Linked DNA regions of Mytilus edulis. The protein of the gene in region 1 purifies or fractionates together with the protein of each later gene. This does not show direct contact. Links are inferred from orthologs where the notes say so. Each region holds a gene or a part of one and is shown on either strand. Other genes may lie near its edges. The genes, in order: neutral amino acid transporter 9-like, ragulator complex protein LAMTOR3-like and ragulator complex protein LAMTOR5 homolog.

Region 1 (7,548 bases):
AAAAAATTCGCAATAAAAACTGTAAATCTACCTGTCTTCATGTTTTTGACAAGTTTATGACCTCCAGGTAATTAACATTTTTAACAGGTGTTACAAGTTGTGATTACAACTAATCCGCTTATCGCCATCGGATGGGTCACTAATCCGTTAATTATTATTAAACCCCATAATTGAATGACCATCATAATTATTTCCCCAGGAAAATCAGCCAGTCGGCAAGTCATTTCAACAATCAGGAGTTTAGTTTCGTCAATTAATCAAAAATGTAACAACCCGGTCAGTTCGCATTTGAATTTCAATATTTTTCCAACGATCTGAAGTTCATTTGTCGTAGATTCGTCATTCGAAGGCATTTTCGTCATAATTGATTTAAATTTTCATCAAAAAACTTTCGACAATTTCCATTTAAAATACATGAAATAAAGAACTTTAATGTGTTTATTCAAAACTTTCACGAGTTAAACAGGTGCTTCCTGTATTGTATTCTTACGCATGCGTGAAAGTATTCTTTTGACTATTTATAGACTTTAAAAAAACGTAAAATACGAAATCATTTAATTTAGAATCAATTAAACGAGAGAGACAAATATCTCTTACTAAAGGAATTTAAATAAAAAAATGATAATTTCCTGATGAATCCGGACTCGTTTTGAATTTATTATCCACGTGTCACTTCCCGTTTTTGTTTCATTTTAAAACCGAAAGTGGTAAACGTGATCTATTGTTGATTTGTTTACAACCTACTTTCAGTCATTATTATAGTTCCAAAAAGGATTTTACACATTTCCAACTTGAAAGAAATGATTCCAAATATCGATTTAGACCTTTTATATGGATAATGATTATGCAGTGAAATAATCATTGCAAGTTAATTTCTGCTGTGATTCCTTGTTTAAAAAAAATAGAATCCAACTTTTGTTGATCAGGAATGACCCCTGGAACAAACTGAAGAGAAATTGTGAACTAAATTTCTGGATTCCATGTCAGAATCTTTCATAATAATGGCCAATACAGTCAAATCATACAATAACTGCCAATCATGCTGGTGCCTCAATCCCTTAAAATCTGACAAAGTCAAAAGATGAAGCTAGTAATATGCATCATTGGCCCCTTGCTTTTACACAAAATAAGGTTGATTTTAATAGCGCGCAAAAGTGACTAAAGCCCTCAAAATCCTAGCTTAAACCCTGAACATGTGTATAAGTCTAGTAACTTTGGTTTAGGATAATTTAAGTTAGAGAACTGAAATGCAAAATGCAGCAATTTCTATGTTTATAAAGGGTCTTAATTAAATAATTAATAAGTTATATAACCCTTTCAAGACTAACAATGCCTTGAGGCATCCCCATAGCCAGGCTGAACAATGCGTTGAGGCATCCCCATAGCCATGCCGAACAATGCTTTCAGGCATTGTCAATCACGTGATAAAAATAATTTTCATCTTTCAACTCATTTCCCCCTGTAAAGCTAAGAAAGGTAAAAGTGACGCTACCCAAATTCAAGTTTGATCTGTATGTTGTAAGCATTGTGTATAAGTTTCATAACATTTGGTTATGGCAAAATAAAGTTTGAAACAGAAATCTTTACCTTAAATCCATTGGATGACCGATGTTGGATGTGAACTCATTGATAATTTAGTCCTTGATAAACAATTTTTTATTAGTTGTTTTGGGCTTTGAACTAGCTGTCGGTAAAGTGCAAGTAATCTTATATCTGTTGTACTTAGTGTCTTTTTGTTGTTGGAATGTAAAAGTACCTGGCCACATCCACTCTGTGTTTTTGTTTGATGTAATTCTATTTGTATCCATCTGATGCATTAAGCCCTTTATCAATTAGGTTGTTAGTTTTCTCTTTTTAATTTGTAATTTATGGGTTTTGTTCATTGTTGAAGGCCTTGCGCTAACCTATAGCTGTTAATTTCTCAAATTCTGTTCCATTAGGTCTCTTGTGGAGAGTTGTCTCATTGACGACATTGGCAATCATACCACATCTTCTTTTTTATATATCCTCTTCTGGGTTTTAGTGCTTTTAGAACGCATTATGGCGTCACAATTTCCATTGAAAAAGCATGCATGATACAAATCTACATGTAGTCTTTGTTAGTTTTGTATTATTTTTAATTTTAGTTTCTTGTGTACAATTTGGAGTTAAGTATGGCGTTCATTATCACTGAACTAGTATATATATTTGTTTAGGGGCTCCGTGTGCGGGAATTTCTCGCTGCATTAAAGACCTGTTGGTGACCTTATGCTGTTGTCTGTTCTATGGTCGGGTTGTTGTCTCTTTGACACATTCCCCATTTCCACTCTCAATTTTATATGACTTAAAAAACATATGATCTGACCATAATATTGAATACACCTTATCGCTATTTGTCCGCCATTGCTGGAAATCACACAGGTTCCCGTAAAATTTTGACGTCATAAAACAAAATGTCTGACGCCACAATGGAAAAGTGATTGTTGTTGACGTCAAAAGTTCAAGCGGACGGGTCAGCCGGGAATAGCGATAAGGTGTATTAATCCTATTCAAAGTTATCATCTCCTGACTTTTTCAACTTTCAGTGGTGATCAAGAGGAGAGAGTTCCAAGGCTGGAACCCCCCTTTTTTTGAGGATCAATGCATTTGAAAGGGAACATGAAGTTGGAACCCCATTTATCCCTTTATCCTGGGTTGGAACCCCCTCCCCCCCCCCCCCCCCCCCCCCCCTTTAAATGGCTGGAACCGCCCCATGCTATGTTTATTGTTTACTATTTCCATCAATTTTCAAAATGGCTAATAAAAATCTTGTGTTCTTTGAAGAAAGCTGACAAAGGAAAATCTTGAGTAGGGGTGTAAACAAATAATTTTTGAGGAACATATTTGCCTTGTCTGACTTGAGGCAGAGGGTCCTTCTTCTTTGTTCTGCAAATTCTCAGAATTTGATGATGAAAGTAAAGTTCGTATTTCGTCGTCTGGGCTGTTTACGGACATGTGACGATTTCTATCCATTTTAAAACGAAGTAAAAGTCAGTTTGTGAACTTTGATAACCATATAAGGCACAAAATGTGCACCATAATTCAGTTACCTTGTTTTGTAACCCCCATTGACATAATGGTTACATTGGTTACATTGGTTACACTCATATAAACTATCATAAATCATGATATTCAGAAATTCTCAAATCCTGGTACATTTGTAACCTCCATTGACCTAATGGTTACATTGGTTACACTGGTTACAGACATGCAAGAATCCCTTTTAGCCATCTTGTTACCATGGCAACCCCATTATTCATGGCTGTGAGGTTACATAAGTTATTTAGGTTACAATGATTTAGAGTTACAATGGTTACATGCATGGAGAATCAGGTTACATGTATAGGGAATCAGGTTACAATGGTTACATGCATGGGGAAGTCGGGTTACAATGGTTACATACATGGGAAAGTCAGGTTACAATGGTTATATACATGGAGAATATTGTTACAATGGTTACATGCATGGAGAAATAGGTTACAATGGTTACATGTATGGGAAAATCAGGTTACAATGGTTACATGCATGGAGAATCAGGTTACAATGGTTACATACATGGGGAATCGGGTTACAATGGTTACATACATGGAGAATTTGGTTACAATGGTTACATGCATTGAGAAATAGGTTACAATGGTTACATGCATGGAGAAATAGGTTACAATGGTTACATGTATGGGAAAATCAGGTTACAATGGTTACATGCATGGAGAATCAGGTTACAATGGTTACATACATGACATACATGGGGAATCAGGTTACAATGGTTACATACATGGAGAATTTGGTTACAATGGTTACATGCATGGAGAATCAGGTTACAATGGTTACATACATGGGGAATCAGGTTACAATGGTTACATACATGGAGAATTTGGTTACAATGGTTACATGCATGGAGAATCAGGTTACAATGGTTACATACATGGGGAATCGGGTTACAATGGTTACATACATGGAGAATTTGGTTGCAATGGTTACATACATGGAGAAATAGGTTACAATGGTTACATGTATGGGAAAATCAGGTTGCAATGGTTACATGCATGGAGAATCAGGTTACAATGGTTACATACATGGGAAAGTCGGGTTACAATGGTTACATGCATGGAGAATCAGGTTACAATGGTTACATATATACATGCCTGGGGAATCAGGTTACAATGGTTACATTCATTGGGAAGTCAGGTTACAAAACTATGTCCACCATGATGGCCCTATGTGTCCATCATAATACTCCCTGTTGCTAATTAATACACAAGGTATTAATCAAAAACTAGTCAAGGATAAAGGGAAATCATGACTGCATTGAAGTGTTAAAATTACATAACCTACAGGTAAAGTGTCTCAGGTAAAATATGTGTTTGTCAAATTTAATTTCTGTGGTGATTATGACCAGAAAATTGAAAAAATAAAATGAAATAATACAACTAGTTGAACCAGAGACATATAAAACACATATAGCCTTATAACATTTTTTTTTAAATGTCTTGTGACTTTGTTTTGATGTTAAATTTTTTTTTTTAACTTCTATCAATTTATGTTATTTTTTACAAGTACTTTTTGACAACTGAAGATTAAATGAATGTCATCTTCATATATAATGCAAACTTTCACAATACCTGTCTTTTTCTATTGAAAGGTGTTTCAAAAATCAATTTTCTAAATTCAAAATTGTTTATACTAAGAGAGACGGATCTGCATTTAACATTGTTTAACAAATGTTTAAGATAATATCTTTAGGACTTATTTTAAATATAATTTAGGCAATTCATTATTTCTCTATTGAATAAATATATTCAACATATATTTATTACAGCAAAATTTCATAATATTTTGTATTGTCATATATCTGAGACTACTAGACAAGTATCTTTAAATAGTCTAATTCATTCAAGTCCCTGCAGTTATTACAATGTATTAACTTTATCTAAAAGGTCTGGTTTTAAGTGAAATATTCTTGGCAAATGTATACAAGATTATATGAATGTAGGACAGAGAGTCACAGCTCAAAATTTCACGGACAAAAAAATCACAGGACAAAAAGTCACAATTCAGTTTTGAGATTATTTTTCTTTGAATAAGAAAACACTTCAAAAAAAATTTTGTATTTGCCTTGAAGTTTAATATATGAAGCAACTTTGTAATTAAAATGTATTTAATAAATGTCATTAATAATTATCAAATAATTGTTTATGAAAAAAAAATGCCAAAGTGACTTGGTACTTTAAATTGGTTCATTTTGCCAATAAATATATCCTTTGCATGTTTAAAATTTAATACATTTTCATTATCAATGTGTATATATATGTATCATGCCAGTCCAGCAGTTTCGACAATATAATACACAAGAGAAAAAAAATATGATTTTATTAATAGACCATAAAAATGTCACAATCTATAGACATGGTAGAAGTGTATTTATTTTTTCTGAAGACAAATTTTGGTTATTAACTGACAGATATTAGCCAAACTGACGATAACATACTTGATTTTCAATTGTTTTAAAAAGCAAGAAAATTTTTCATTAACTAGTTTCTTTTCATAATGCAATTAAGATTCACTTTATTCTGAGAGCTAAGAAAAATATGATAAAAAAAAATAATGAGCGATAACAAAAATTAATGAGCATTTATACAAATTTGATATTCCACCGCAGTATCTACTGTACTGTTTAAACTGTTTATTCAAAATACACTCGGACGCAGATTTCCTGGCACCGATTTCCTGCATAACAGGAGCGACAAAGAATGTAGGACAGAAAGTCACAGGACAAAAAGTAATAGACAAAAAGTCACGGACAATAAGTGACAGGACAAAAAGTCACAATTATTTTTTTCTGGCTATTTTCTTTGAATAAAAAACGCTTATTTCTACAAAAATATTTTGGTATTTTTTTTTAACTATTGTATATATAAACCAACTTTGTAAACAAAATTTATCCAAAAAATATCAAAGATGATTAGATAATTGTTAAAAAAAAAAATGTGAAAGTGGCTTGACACTTTAATGGCTTCATTGTGCCAATAAATATATCCTTTGCATGATTTTTATTAAATAAATAATCATTTTTCAAGTATAATGACACATTTCCTTAACTTTAATATGAATATATGAATTAAACAGTGAATACATCACTTACATATTCAAACAATTGGCAACAAATTATTTGTGACCTTTTGTCATGTGACTTGTTGTCCTATCTTTGTGACTTTATGTCCTGTGACATTTTGTTCTGTGACTTTCTGTCCGTTTACTGAGACAAATACACATAAATTTACAAATAACATAGATAGCGAAATGAGTAGAATACATAAAATGAAACAGTAAAAATATTTTTTTAACAAAACAAAATATATACTAAATCTTTTGACCAGATCGCAAAAAGTCTGTGCAATCTGTAAAGTTTAAATAACCATGTGATCAATATATTAAGATATGTGCATTAGGTTGGTTCTAGAACACCCAGACAAAGTCCTAGTAATATTCCTTATTATTCCCAAAACTCAAACTAATTACTTATATACAATCTTTGTTGATAGCTAGAAATATCTTATTCATCAAATTTGTCTGAAATTTACTGAAATAATTTAACACAATTAAATCTTTATCAAAAATTGAGAAATACTTTGTTTATTGAATTCATTTGTTATAATAGTTTAATATTGTTTTAGTTTTTTTATTATTCAGTTTATGCCTCATTTGTTGTTTTTATTTTGACTTGGGACATCGTAACTGTTACAACTATCCTAAGACCCCAAAATTCAAACATATATCTTATCTTAGAAGACTTTTTTAAGACTAATTAAGATGTGTCCTAAGACCAATACATGTATACCATGTATACAGGTTGAAAACATACATATGAAACCACAGCACAGGGAATCTGATGTTTTTGCGCCAAAGAAGAAGCCTTTTAAGCACCAGATATTTAACCCATTTTAGTGAAATTTAAAAATGTCAATGACCATTTTAGAGAAATATTTTAACCCATTCTAATAAATAATGTATGATCAATAAAAAACTTGAATAGACTCAAGACAGCACTATAAAACATATCTTGTCCATTAAAATACAGCACTAAAAGTCTAAAAGGTTAAATCAAATGTTAAAAGTCTGTTCTACCCTGATATTTATATATCCTATGAGAAAGTACATATGGGCTCTGCATGAATATACTCCCTGTACAATACTATTCATAGAATTGCATACGGAACTGTTCTTTCTCTTTATCTTGTCTAGAATGTGGTGCACATTCCTGTATACTTTGTAATTTTAAATATGTTGTTGTTTGAAATTTAATAATAGTATCAAGGAAAATGTAAATAGCTGGGTGACAACTATAAAATTGCTCATTATAATGGGCATGGAAAGACTCTGGACCATTAATTGGTTGCTTTGAATTACACTCCCAAAGCTTAAGTGGGAATATAGAATCTTCAGTTCTTCCCAGTTTCTTCTAAGAGATAATCTGCGAATTCGATACATCTCTTATTGTATTTCCATGATGAACATATAAACAACTTAAAC
Region 2 (6,965 bases), on another chromosome or scaffold:
TGATCAGTAGCAACTTATTTTGCCGACACGGGACGTTTGCGTTTTTGATACAACATTGATAATATTTTATGGGCATTTTCGCTTCAATTTTATGGACGTTTACGCTCAATTAAGGGCATACGCTACAGTTTTGATCCCGTATTTAAGTTTGATGAAAATTTATATATAGGCTAATTTTTTTTGCCTGATTAAATCAAATATGTAATAAAAAATATACCTTTATATGCTACTTTTTGAGTTAAATGAGGTCGAAATTTTGTATATTTGCTCAAAATTCGGATTTGTGGCCGTATTTTCCCTTTCGAAAGAAAGCCATATTTTTTTTTTTTTAAAAGATAAACACAAATTGTTTTTTGTTAAATAATTTGTAATTTCTGTATTTTATAAATATCCTAAAAACTTATGAATTTTTTATTAAGAAATAACTCATATTTATCAAATGGTCATGAATTGAGAAAAAAAAACGTATTTTTTTGCTGTATATTTATCAACATTAAAAAAAATGCACTATTTACAGTTTTATAAAATTTGGTTCACATAATCTCCCTGCAAAATGAAACAATATGTCGTTTTAAAAAATAGGAGTCCATGCACTCGTTTTCAAATTAAATCAGTTTGAATGATAAAAATCAGTCGAAAAATGCATCTTTTCCCGGTATGTCACAGTTTGACGTCGCGAAAATAACAGTTTACGTTAGCAACGTCATGATCTCCACTGTAACTGTATCGTATGCCCTTAAAAAATAAAATTCACTTAAACAAAAGAATATTTGCGGTTTATAAACATAAGATTTGATATCACTTATACTGAGTTAATGTAGTTGGCGGATGCTGTTCAAAAGTAAAATCACAAAAATACTGAACTCAGAGGAAAATCAATTCGGAAAGTCCATAATCACATGGCAAAATCAAAAACCAAAACGCATCAAAAACGAATGGACAAGAACTGTCATATTCCTGACTTGGTACATGCATTTTCAAATGTAGAAAATGGTGGATTGAACCTGGTTTTATAGCTAGCTAAACCTCTCACTTGTATGACAGTCGCATCAAATTCCATTACATCATCGTCACCGATGCGTGAAAAATACTCTTCAAAGACACAAAAACATAAAAGATACATTAACGGGGTGATAAAATAAAATATAATATTACATATTACCAAGTAACTACCAATGATGACCGATTTATATTAAAGAAATACCACAGTATGCAGAAATGTTTAAAGTTTTTATTGTTAATTTCGCAATGATATTTTTCAGGCTCATCTTAATTTTCTGACAAGGTGAACAAAAAAGAAAAAAATATTTCTGGAAAGGTTTGTTTTGCTTCGGTTTCTAACCAAACTGAAATCGTAAAAATTTGTTATTCAACCAATAGAAAATGAAAACTAACCTCACGAAAATCATGGCCAAATATACAATAAAAAAATCACACATTTCTACATCTTACGGTATTCATTTTATAAAGAAATGCTCATAAAAAGTACTTGGTAATACATTTTTTGAAAAATATCGATTTAAGTTGAAATATTTTTGATTGGAAACTCACTTTTGTCCACCATCTGTACTAGGTTACAGAAATCTAACATAAATACCTGTGCACTAATGGCCGAGCTTTTCATGAATTGAATTGGGATATTGTTTGCTACATTCGAATGATGCATTCGTTAAATTCTGAAACCTAGGTATGCCTCGAACCTTATTGTTCCCATCTCAAACACGCCTAAATTTGTCGTGAATGAAAAATGATAATTCTGTTTTCATATATTTTTTTTATAAATAAAAAGCGCAAACGCACCGTCGGTTTATCAAACTGTTTAAAAGATCACCTAGAGGGACGATAGATACCAGAGGGACAGACAAACTCATAAATCTAAAATAAACTGACAACGCCATGGCTAAAAAGGAAAAGGACAAACAGACAAACAATAGTAGACATGACACAATATAGAAAACTAAAGAATAAACATCACGAACTCCACCAAAAACTAAGGGTGATCTCAGGTGCCCCGGAAGAGTAAGAAGATTCTGCTCCACATGTGGCACCCGTCGTGTTACTTATGAGATAACAAATCCGGTAAATAGTCTAATTCGGTAGGTCACAATCATGAAAGGGGAGGGGATTGTAGTTATGACGTAATGAACATATCCGATATCATTTGTGAAACGGTTATTCCATAACGGACAACCAACTCGTGATGGCGTCCGTAAAATTTACGAAGTGATGATTTCAACTTCACCATTTGAAACTCTTGATTTAATAGCTTCCTTGTGAGCAACAACCCTCTATCAAGAAAATCATGATAGGAAATGCAAGCACGGGAATATCGTATCAATTGGGAGATATATAAACCGTATGCAGGCGCTTCTGGAATGTTGCTACATAGAAATGGAAAGTTCACAATTGGAAAGCTGAAATCATCTCTTTTTTCGTAAAGTTTTGTTTTCAATTGACCCTCATTGTCAATTTCTAGATGTAAGTCAAGATATGAGGCCGACTTAACTGTATCTGTTGTATCCTTTATCTCTAGTAGAATTGATAGATGCGTTCAACATAGTCACAAAATTTTGCTTTGAGTGAAAGAACATCATCTTTATAGCGGAAAGTAGAGTTAAAGTCTTTCTTCCTAAGAAGTTCCTGTATGAATTCAGCCACATAATAATAAAGAAAAAAGTCGACAAGAAGAGGGGCACAATTCGTTCCCATTGGAATGCCGATAGTTTGTTGGAAATCACATCCTACGAACGTAACAAATATATTGTCAATCAAGAAATCAAGCATCTTGATAATGTCAGTTTCAGATTTTTTTTGTTTGAATCAGAGTGATCCTTTACAAAGTAGGATTTATCCCTTCCTAAGACAAGGTACTTGTATCTTCGTTGCTTGGCCATTCTTTTTTATGAAACAAAGCAATATCAACTCTTTCAATTTGTCTTTTAGTTTGGAATGAGGAATACTTGTATAAAGTGTATAAAAATATAATGTTTTAATACTATTACAAAATGAAAGAGAGTTAGATTGTGTGTACTCCAAAAGATCTTTGAAATTTTTAAGTATCCACATCTGATTCACGCCACCTCTAGAATAGGCAGTTTCACAACTTAGTAAAGTGGACAAGTAAAAAAATATATGAAAAATAACTGCTAAAAGTAAAAATAATAATTTTCCTTTAATTGTATGTTAAAAGTCTTAAACTGTAAACTTCCCATGTAAAAGTCAACATAAAACCTGTAAACCTCCTTTATAAAAACACATGAAGACTTAAAAAATGTATATAGTGTATCTAATGTTGTTGTGTTACGATTGTTAATTTATTCTTCAATTATTTTTTTGGTGGTGGAACTGTTCGACATACAAAGTATGGTTACCCTATAAAGGGTGTAAAGATCCAGAGAAGAAGAAGGACATGTCCATAGTTTTGGGGCGCAAAACACGCAAAAGTCCTGAGATAAAATTTCCTCGATTATTGTTTTAAAGTCCAACACTTGAATTTTTCACTTTGTCATTGGTTAGAACAGGCGAATATATAAAACAATTAATGCATAGCCCACTTTTGCAATCCAGTATTTTTCATTTTAAAAAAAATGCAGATTCAGGCGGCTATGCCCTCCCCTCCCCCTTGCATGGTAAAAATGTGGTTGGTTATACAGTGAATCACTGAAGCATTAGTGTAGTGGGTCCCCTCTTATGGCAGTTATTGGCACTGTGCCTCCTAACAAAATGTCGGTATGGATCCGCCATTGTTAGATTTTGCTTTTCTTATCTTTTGGCTAAATTTCATCATGGAAAATTCACAAATGCTTATAATCAAAATAAGTTATAATAAAATGGAAACAAAATAACAAAAGAAAGCTGCACGACAACATTTTGGAAAATATATTTGTCCGTTGCTGTGCTATACTTTTTAAAGTGATTTTGAAGTTTTAAGATTTACCATTAAAAGCTCTTCACTGTGAAAACAGAAACAGTGTACATCATGACAGACGTAAGATTTTATTTTATTTTTTAGTTTATTCTCTACTATCAGACACATTGTTTATTGAATTTTAAAAGAAATCAGGATCGTGAGTTCAACTGTGAAAAAGATTTCATACCCAAATGCCAGGCCTAACTGTCGTTTTGCCGCATAGCGAAAACTTCAACTTGAAAATTATGGGAGGGTCTTTTCAGATGAAGTTCCTTTATCTTCCAAATTATACTGGAACTACTCTACTTAGATAGGTACTACATGATGAGCTCCCGAAGTTTAATAGTGTATGTTGTTTTTTTAATCTATAATCTGGTGTTTTTTATCCAATTATGAATACAACCTGTTACCTGTTACCTAATCTTTATCTTCCTCCTCTAGCAGGAGCTTCGCTTTTATAGCGTAATTCTTATTTGCAGCCTTATTTGCACCCTATCCCTTACACACTGGGCACTCATAAAATCAGTATACGTAGTTATTATAATGTATAACAGTAACATATATACAGCATGCGAACTAATCCGTCACCATGTAAACAAGGTTAACTATATATATATTACACAGTCCAATCGTTCATAGCTGGTTCACTATTTATATCTCCATATCACATAGGCTTAACAATTCTACATATATAGCACTCCTGCCCTCACATTAGCATTTACTGTTCAAACACTATCCTCATTATCTTTAAATCTAAAAACTAGTTCAAGTGTCAAGGAATTCCCAAATAAAGATTATTTTTTTCTGTCCTTATCCATGTTATCATGGTTGATAAAGTTGTTAAAAGAATCAGAAAATGTGCTTCCTGATAAGTATATTATTATTGAATCCTGTTTTCATGCATTGCCAGGGGTCTACGACCTTCCACTGTTGCAATTGGACTATTGTTTCAGTTACTAGCTATGCCAGACGGACCTTCGATTAAAATAAAATAAAAACTAAACTTTGCTGTCCTTTTTAACCATCAGTATCTTAATTTCAAAACCATATTATGATTGAAATTGAGATAATTAAATGTTTCAAGCAAAAGCCTTGAAGATGATGAACGTCATCATGGTCATTTACGTGAACAAAACAAAAGAAATAGAAATGAAGATCTCACTATGCATGTTATAGACTAAAAGAAGATTTTGAAAATTAGGGAGTGATATAATAATTTAAGCCCTGTTAGATCAACTATATTTTGATGAATTGACTGGTCTAATGTCGTGTACATACTGCCTACAGTTTTCATTCGTTAAGATAAAGAAAGTGCACTTGAACAGTCTTCACGATGAACTGTTAAATCTACAGGCCAGGAGCTCAATTTTTGAAATTTTTTAGTGAGATTTTGTTGGCCTGCAGATATGATTTTTACAGGCCCAAGAGCAATTTTACAAGCCTGGGCTGCCAGGGCTGCCCCTCAGCGAGAAGACTGCTTGAAGGGTTACAAAAAATCATAAAATAGACCCAATAATAATACAAAAATTGACAACCCAGCATTTATCTGGTTTAAAGCAGTGGATCCATGAGAGTGACCCAAATTTTAAGTCTTAAGCCTTACCATGCTTAATTGTTATCAGCAATTGTCTAAATTTCGAGTATTTGCAAAAATATGCAAATGATATGCAAATGAGCTGTACCCTGATGCTGATACATACTTATAACAATAAATCTAAGATAGGGGATCGCAGGGTGGGGTAGGGGGGAATTTGCCCCAAAGTTGGTCCTCAGGTGCAAAAAGCGTCTATTTTGACGTTTTTTTTTTCTTTTTCTCGACCTGTAAGTCCAAGGGATGCTAATACATGTAATAGATGCATCCATCTGTAGTTTTTATGTAGAGTGGACCCCAGTGAACACTTTTATCACAACAGTTGTTAGGTCGGAGTGAAACTGATCTGGGTTCATCAGTGTATAGAAGGTCATTTGCACCAAAATTCACAAAATTTCTGATTTTTTTCAATTTTGAACTTTAACTGGATTTGCAACCTGAAGTAGTCGTTTCCTAGGCGTATTTTGATAATAAACACAATCAGTCGTCTGGGCCTTTAGGTAAACAGTATTTGTCAAGGTTTCAGTCCTCTTAACTCCATGTTTCAGACCTCGAAGGTAAGCCCATCCCTCCAAAAAACCCAATTTTGTCCGATATCTAATTTTGAAGTTCGTATTTGAGCTCAAAATGAATATTAAAAGTGACAAACATGACAATCAGTAGTGTCAGATTGAGGAAACTTGCATACACTACGAATTAAATGGCATTATGATGACCTTCAAATGTATGGAGCGCCATTAATGCCTAAATAACGGTGGTCTGGATACGGCCGTAACATTACAGCCCCCGCACGACAAGGGTTAAGATTTATTGTCAAGCATGAAACATGGACAATTTATTCTCAAACAGCAATGTAAGCCTGATCAGTTAAATAGATGTAAGGTTCTTGCAAAAAAGGGAATCCCCTCAGTGACTATGAATTTATTCTTGAAATCCATAGCAAAAATGATGTTGATATTGGTTAGCACTACTTCAATATTTGAGGTTGAAAACTGTTTATAAGCTGGAAAGTTCATTTTATGAGAAACAAAATGAGTTTATGAGTTATGTAATATTTCTTATAAAAGTAGGACCTGGGATTTTGGTTGTGGACCTTTCACTTTTTTCACATTCAACCAAATGTTGATTTGAACCCCTGATGGGGTACATTGGCTTTCATCTGTCCCTCTATTACACATGTATGACACATTTTTCCAAGAAACTAAAATTCTGTTAGTATATATATAACACCTTGGTTCTTCTGGTTTTGAAATAAACATAGTGTGAAGTGTCAATTCCTTAGTCTTTAGAAGAGGGTCAAAAGATGCCAGAGGGACAGTCAAGCTAATAGATCAAAAATAAGCTGACACCGCTGTTACTAAAAAACAAAAAGACAAAGAGACAAATGATAGTTCAAAGACACAACATAGAAAACTAAAGACTAAGCAACACGAACCCCAGCAAAAGGGATGTGGGTGGAGGTTG
Region 3 (7,582 bases), about 44 Mb from region 1:
ATTAATTTTGTATTTACATTAATATTGATGATAGATCAAATTTATTTGTTCAGTGTATGTTTAATACTTGTTTTTGTTAAGCATGTTAATATGTCTTTTGATTGATCATTGAGTTAAGACATATTTCAATTGATATTTTACTTATGTGAAGTTGTGTTGTTTCTGTCCAATGTAGATGTTACACTATTATTTCAGGTTAGGGTGTAGGTTGGCACCTGTTCAAATATTTAAACCCCTTTCATTTCAAAGCTTGCCCTGCTTTTTAAATATATGAAATTATTTTTTTTCTGTTGGGAGTGGAGAAATATGGAAATACACAAGTGATAGTACAAAAAATGTATTTATGGTATTGGAATCCTTTTCTCTAATGGTTTTTATCCCTCCTTTTCAAAAATTTGCAGAAATTTGTGTTCTTTATATGTGAAGTCATATGACATGGTAGCCTTTTTTCATGATGTCACGATAGGAAAATTCAAAAGAAACAAGAATATTTGACCAATCATTTGCCAAGAATATATTTCACAATAAGGAAAAATATTTTCTCACATTGATTAAGAAATGTGAATTCAAAACGGGCTAAAAGATTAAAAAAATATGATTACACCATACACAGTGTAAGTACATACAGAACAAACATTATTTCTAGTTTATCCTGAATAAAGATCACATAGACCCTTGATGAACTTTAAAAGTGCAGGGATACAGACAGACCCTCAATCTTGTAAATGAAGTCATAAAGGCTTGCATAGTGGATGAACTTTTACCAGTGAATGACAATACAATGTACTGGAAAGCGGTATGTCATTTGCATGATTTGTTGAAAGGACTAGAATTTTCTTATATAAATAATGCAAACGGGTGGTTTGGACTGTATTCCTATCCACACTGGGTTGTTTTGCTCTTTATAATTTAGCCCTGAAAAGTAAGAAAGAGTTGTTTTGCTTACTGTATTTGGCCCAGGATTTGCGAAATAAATATATATATATCCTACTTATTCTTTCTCTAAAAAAAAGGGAGAAAATATCATCTTCATTAAATGAAGAAAAACTGACAAATGCCATAGCAAAAACCGAAAGACAACAAAGGCAACAAGTCAGGGAGATAATAAAACACTTCATTCAAAAATTATATAACATATACCATGTATACATAAAAAAAAAATTGTACATGTTATTTAGGGCATGGTTTGTTTATTTATAGTGATAAAATAAAGAAAGTAAAAATAAAAAATTATTTAGTAAATATGTTCATGATGTAAGGGACGACATCAAAAGTTCAATGTAGGATAAAAAAACTTAATTCACATAGTTTTTTCGCTGACCCCCCCCTACCCCCCTTCTGAACTTAATTTGGGAAAAATTGATTTACCTATATGGATATATGTAAAATCGATTTTAGATTAACAAAACTTGCAGCAATGTTGACCCCCCACCCCCAAACTATTCGATTTAAGTTTTTTATCCTACATCGATCTTTTGATGTCGTCCCTAAATCATACACTTCTCTGCAAAAGAAAATGTACAACTTTTTGACACTTTTAATTTGTATTTTATTGCTGCCTGCGCTGTTGTTTCTTGCAGCTAATGAGACTGCATCATAATAAAAATTTAATGAACATTTCATCCTACAAGTAGGTATTTCAATAAATCAATAAGGTGTTAACATTAATGTTTACCAATTATTATTAGATAATAAAAAATTTGACACATTTGACCAATCCCTTTTTCATCTTATTAGTGACTTGTTTGCAGGTTCATGATTTGTTCTTACATGTACATCAAATACATGTAGGTTACAGTTGTTTTTCTTCTTGGCCAAATCAAATTATTAATAAAATTGTGTTAAAATGAACCAGCTGAATATGCCAAAGAGAATCAACCAAATTATCTAGGATATTCGGAATCACGTCACAACTAAATTCCCTAACAATATAACGGAAACCTTACAGTATTTCCGTTTCTTTTTTTTAACATATTTGAATTAATACAGACTTTGTCCCCATTTACAGGTACATTGTAATACCTGCCTCATATTAATTTTTACAGTATGATATTACAGGGTTCTCATTAAGGTGAGTCAATGAGTCCTGGACTCATCAAAATCTGTCTGGACTCGCCTTTTTCAAAACTGGTGAGTCCACAGATGCATCATGATTGAAATATTTTGTATAAACTGAACACAGTTAAACACAAATATCATTTTATAGCAAAAGTTTAAAAGTGATCTGAATTTAATGTCATTGCATTGCTTTGTTAGGAAATGGAGACTAAAATATTACATTATATTGCAATAAAATATTATCTTCTTGCTGTTGGAATTATCATGGCTAAAAATGATGAGTCCCTGGACTCGCCTTCAAAAATCCTTAACGAAAACCCTGTGATAATACTAAAATACATGTACATGTAGCATTAAAATTACGTGAATTTCATATCTTACAAATTGATGCTTAGGGGGCTGATTTAATAGTCCATATATATTGATGGTGTCTTGGAAGGCTAATTTAAATTCTTGATTTGACGCTTTCCAGCAAAATAAGGCGTTAAAGAAAAAAAATATAATAGCCTTTCAAGACATCATCATTATTTTGACTAGGGGGCTAAATGTATCACATGCAGTTCTGTAAAGATTTTATCATACAATGTATGACATTCCTGTCAAATCAAATGCATCTCAAAGTGAAAATGTACAAAGATGCTCATATGATCCCTGTTGTAAATATGTGTCCAGAGTACCACTGGCACTCTGTCTCTACTAGAAACAATGTTATGATGAAAACTATTGAATAAACAACCCCATCTTAGTTAAGAATTGAAAGTTTTGATAATAATTTCCAATTAACATAAAGAAAGTGGACCAAATTTCCTAGGAAAATTAGTCTTAGGAAATATTTTATTTTAAATCTAAATACATAACTCTTTAACAATATCAAAACAACACTTAAAAATAACAAACATGGACGTTTCTACCTAGGAATAATAAGAACATGGACATGATTTCCTAGAAATATTAGTCTGGGGAAATATTTTTTTCTTCATAATATCAATACACAATTCTAAAACATTATTAAAACAAGACAAGCCATGTTAATTAACCTTTAAACATAATTATTATGGGTGTCTTTATCGAGGAATAATAATGACATTAACATGATTTCCTAGGAAAATTAGTCTGGGGATATAACTTTAAAAAATATTAATACATAACTCTAAAACAATATTAAAACCATTTATGTAAATAAACCTTTGAAATTAAATGATATGGATGTTTTTATCTAGGAATAATTATAACATGGACATGATTTCCTAGGAAAATTTGTCTGGGTACATATTTTTTTCATATAATATTACATAACTCTTTAACAAAATCAAACATGAAAGGTACTGGAAAAAGTTAGTTTGGTTAAAAATAAGTTTTAAACCTTAATTAAAATTATAAAATCATGGACATGATTTCCTAGGAAAATTTGTCTGGGTACATATTTTTTTCATATAATATTACATAACTCTTTAACAAAATCAAACATGAAAGGTACTGGAAAAAGTTAGTTTGGTTAAAAATAAGTTTTAAACCTTAATTAAAATTATAAAAATCATGGACATGATTTCCTAGGAAAATTTGTCTGGGTACGTATTTTTTTCATATATTATTACATAACTCTTTAACAAAATCAAACATGAAAGGTACTGGAAAAAGTTAGTTTGGTTAAAATTAAGTTTTAAACCTTAATTAAAATTATAAAAATCATGAACATTTTGCCCTATTAATATTAATAACACGGACATGATTTCCTAGGAAAGTTAGTCTGGTTACTTACATTTTATCAACATGGACATTTTTACCTAGGATTATTAATGACATGGACCTATATTCCTAGGTAAATTAGTCTGGGGACAAAATTTACTAACATCAGACTATATTTACTAGTAAAATTTGTAACCATGGACATTTTATACTAGGAATTTGGGTCCGCCCGGACATATTTTACAAGGACAAATTTATCGCTTACATACACACCAAGTCCCAAATGTAAATCTTAAAACAATGTTTGTACAGTTTTCCACTAGAAATTTTTAGGGCCCTTTAAACCATTCCAGTGTAAGACAAGGCTCTGTGTTGAAGGCCGTACCTTATTCTTTATTCGTTTACCTTTATTACTTGCTACTTGGATGGAGAGTTGTCTTATTGGCACTTATACACATGTACATGTACCACATCTATAAACTGACAAAGATATAATTTGACATACGACAGGTTATTGTTAAGTGACATCCTCTTTCTGAGAAGGTTTAAATGTATACACATTAAGATATACATTACATGTATTCAACTTATATCTTGCAAAATTTATAAAGTTATTACAATTATTCACAACATGACAACGTCAACAACTGAACAAAATCAAAATAAGTTATTTACATAACCCATGGGAACAATTGTACACATATCACTGTGACTGAGTATCCACGGGTATAACTATTCTCATATTTAAATATAATGCTATTTGTTACCTGTTGGTCTCATGAAATGAAAAAGAGTTTGTAAACAACCTGTTCCGTTTGGCTATCCCACTCTTCTGTCATTATGGAAAGGGAGGTAGAAAATGTGTACTATATCCGGCGGAGAATTCTACTTCCGGTTGCAGTCCAAAGACGAAACATGGAAAAAGTCCTGGAAAAGCATTTAGACGAAACGTACGGTAGCATGTTAAAGGCTTCTCAGTGAAATTTCATACATTGATCATTACAGAGATAAGAGTCAGTCATATCACAGCCACAGGGGTCGATATACATATAGCCTTTCTACTTAAGGTTCATCATAAGGAATTGAAAAATATGGCCGTGTTTTCACCTCCAAAATTACTATGAGTACAGACAAACTGGTACATCCAGGAAAGTTTTAAGGCATGGCAGGAACTAGATATATAAAAGTTATATGAAGTCTACGTTTCAGAAAATTAAAAAGTTACCTGGATTTTGATGTTCATTTTTTTCCAGTCTGCAGAAGATAGCAAAATAAACAAACACCCGAGTTTCATTTGATACGGTCCACTCAGTTACACAGTTTAAACCTGTTAAATAACCTATTGTTTACAGGTGTCTATTGTCCATCTATTGTCCATTTAAATCAATACTACTCACAACATTGATTATATGAGGGGAGCTTCTCAATCGTTTTCACTACTTAGTTAATTTTTGCACCTTCTGCAGGAACGAAAAAAAATGGATAGCAAAATCTAGAAAAGATTATAATTTTCTGAAACATAAAATGCATTTAAAATTTATATATCTAGTTCCTGCCATCCCTTAAAACTGTTGCAGGTGTATAGGTTAGTCTGTACTCAGAGTAAAATTTGGGGTGTAAATACGGCCATTTTAGCCAAAAGGTTATGATGAACCTTAATAATATGAGGCAGGCAGTACCTGTGAAATTTTTGGGGACGAAGTTTGTTTAAATTAATTTTTTTTGTAATTTAAATATTTGTTAAAAAAAAGATACGGAAATACCGTACCGTTTCCGATTTTGGTTCTGTTGTTAGGGATTTTACTTGTGACGTTATTTAAGTTATGACGTCATGTTCAATGTAAACAAAGAAACGCAATGTATCAGGTACATGTAGGCCTAACGTTTATTCATACCAAAGACAAAGAATGATTAAAAATGAAATATTGGTATTGTGTTCCTTGACTTTCTATATTTTACTAGACTAATCAAAGTCTCACGACAACAAGACTGGAAGAAGGAAGTAGAGTTATGTGTTCTGCGCAGATCCGGAAATTAAAAAACGCGACAAAAAAAAAATTGGACGATTTTGACTTCATTAGTACAATGAAAAATTCTGGTCTAAGTGTTACGCGGGATTGCTGATTTTTTGTAAGCGTGACACCTGAAAGTCAAATTATTGTGCCGTGAAAACGGGAAGTGAAGGCTAGCGGGACACAGGAAATTAGAAAAATATGAGAATTGCTAACATACATGTACATAGTGTAAGCGGTGATATGGGAATCTGATAAAACAGTACTGTAAGCGGGATCCGGGATCCAAACCCCCCAATGAGACCCCCTATGAAGTCAAAATCATTATCTTTATTTTTTAGACTTGTTTATTTTCATGCAAAGGTCATTTTTGGAATCATGTCTTTCACCGGAAAAGATCGTCAATTTCGAACGCCTTTATGACGTCATTCCAGCACTTTCATAATCGTCATTCTGTAGGGTAGTATAGAAATAATTAATGTTCCATAAGTACATAATCGTGATTGCCATATGACCGAGGGAAGGTGACCATCCTTTTAGATTTTAATTTCCAAAATATTTTGTGCAGTTTAGAATAAAACTTTTTCACCCTTTTGCTCAACATGTATTTGAAATTTCTATGCATACATTTTTGTCACCTGGTGATGGAAGTCACATGACAGATTGGTCTGTAAACCGTATCCCAGAACTGGCCTATTTGAACATAAATCTACTTCCTTCTTCAGGTCTCGTTTGTCATGAGACTTTGAGTAAAATATTTATTTATCAGTCCAGAAAAATATATATATACATTTGTAGAAACACAATACCAATTTCATTTTTAACAATTCTTTGATATAAAAAACACATTACCTGATGATAGTGTTTCTTTGTTTATGTACATTGATCAATATAAAGTCATAACTTAAATAATGTCACAGCTAAAATCTCTAACAACAGAACGAAATTGTGAAATGTTACTTGATACATTTGTACATGTATATTTGTTTCTTTTTTAAAAGGGCACTAGCTGTCAATTTCATGTTCACCAATTTTAATCAAATTCTCATATTTGATTTAAAACAATGTTAAACATTTATCTACACTATTAAATGTGTAAAATAAACAATTAACAGGGCATGGGCATGAAAATACATAGCTTTGTTTCATGTGTATTTTAGTCTAGATGCCATCTCATTAACTATTGTGTTGACCTCAAAAGTCATCTGATGACCATATAATCGATGTTAACATATATATATAGATATAAATAGATTAAGCAAATTTGTGCTGTTGGACTTTTCTAGGTCTACTTTATTTCATATTAAAGATGAAAAATAAATGTTTATCATCGTTTTTACCTGTATAACACAGATTTTTTTTGGATTGAATCAGTCAATCAAATGATTTACCTTTGTTTAACTTTTAATGTTGACATTTTTTTCCTTTAAATAACTTTACACATACAATTCATGTGTTATTAATCTCAAGCTAAGAGGTTAAATCGAAGTTCACATGAATACGGATTCAATGACAATGAGGTCAAATTTTTCACTTGCAGGTGAATAATTCATATAAATCAATATATTTAGCATATAATGACAAAATTAAACCATACTGGCTGCTAAAAGCAGATTGTTATTTCACTATTTCCATTTCATTAATGATTTAGCAAAAAAAAAATATATTAGATTTTTTTATATATATATCTAATAGCTAACTGCCCCTTTAACAGATTTTGAAGTTAAAATATGTTTGAATTAAAAAAAAATAATTCATACAGACTTGGTCCCCTTTCATAGGTAATGCCTGCTCCATATTACAAGGATATCAGACTAAGCGTAAAA

The links.
Region 2: the proteins of neutral amino acid transporter 9-like (region 1) and ragulator complex protein LAMTOR3-like purify together in Homo sapiens (affinity purification with mass spectrometry; 3 studies listed by BioGRID and IntAct, with this or other methods). This does not show direct contact. The link is inferred for Mytilus edulis from reciprocal best matches to the Homo sapiens genes SLC38A9 and LAMTOR3.
Region 3: the proteins of neutral amino acid transporter 9-like (region 1) and ragulator complex protein LAMTOR5 homolog purify together in Homo sapiens (co-immunoprecipitation; 5 studies listed by BioGRID and IntAct, with this or other methods). This does not show direct contact. The link is inferred for Mytilus edulis from reciprocal best matches to the Homo sapiens genes SLC38A9 and LAMTOR5.

The regions. Positions count from the first base shown.
Region 1 is NC_092344.1:81,385,486-81,393,033, reverse strand, and holds the start of neutral amino acid transporter 9-like, read right to left. Parts: upstream 3,032-7,548; 5' UTR 2,992-3,031; coding exon 2,867-2,991; intron 1-2,866.
Region 2 is NC_092352.1:54,988,935-54,995,899, reverse strand, and holds the start of ragulator complex protein LAMTOR3-like, read left to right. Parts: upstream 1-3,922; 5' UTR 3,923-3,979; coding exon 3,980-3,988; intron 3,989-6,965. UniProt on the Homo sapiens protein: As part of the Ragulator complex it is involved in amino acid sensing and activation of mTORC1, a signaling complex promoting cell growth in response to growth factors, energy levels, and amino acids.
Region 3 is NC_092344.1:37,230,491-37,238,072, reverse strand, and holds the start of ragulator complex protein LAMTOR5 homolog, read left to right. Parts: upstream 1-4,569; 5' UTR 4,570-4,584; coding exon 4,585-4,694; intron 4,695-5,560; exon of another isoform or gene 5,561-5,575; coding exon of another isoform or gene 5,576-5,610; intron 5,611-7,582. UniProt on the Homo sapiens protein: As part of the Ragulator complex it is involved in amino acid sensing and activation of mTORC1, a signaling complex promoting cell growth in response to growth factors, energy levels, and amino acids.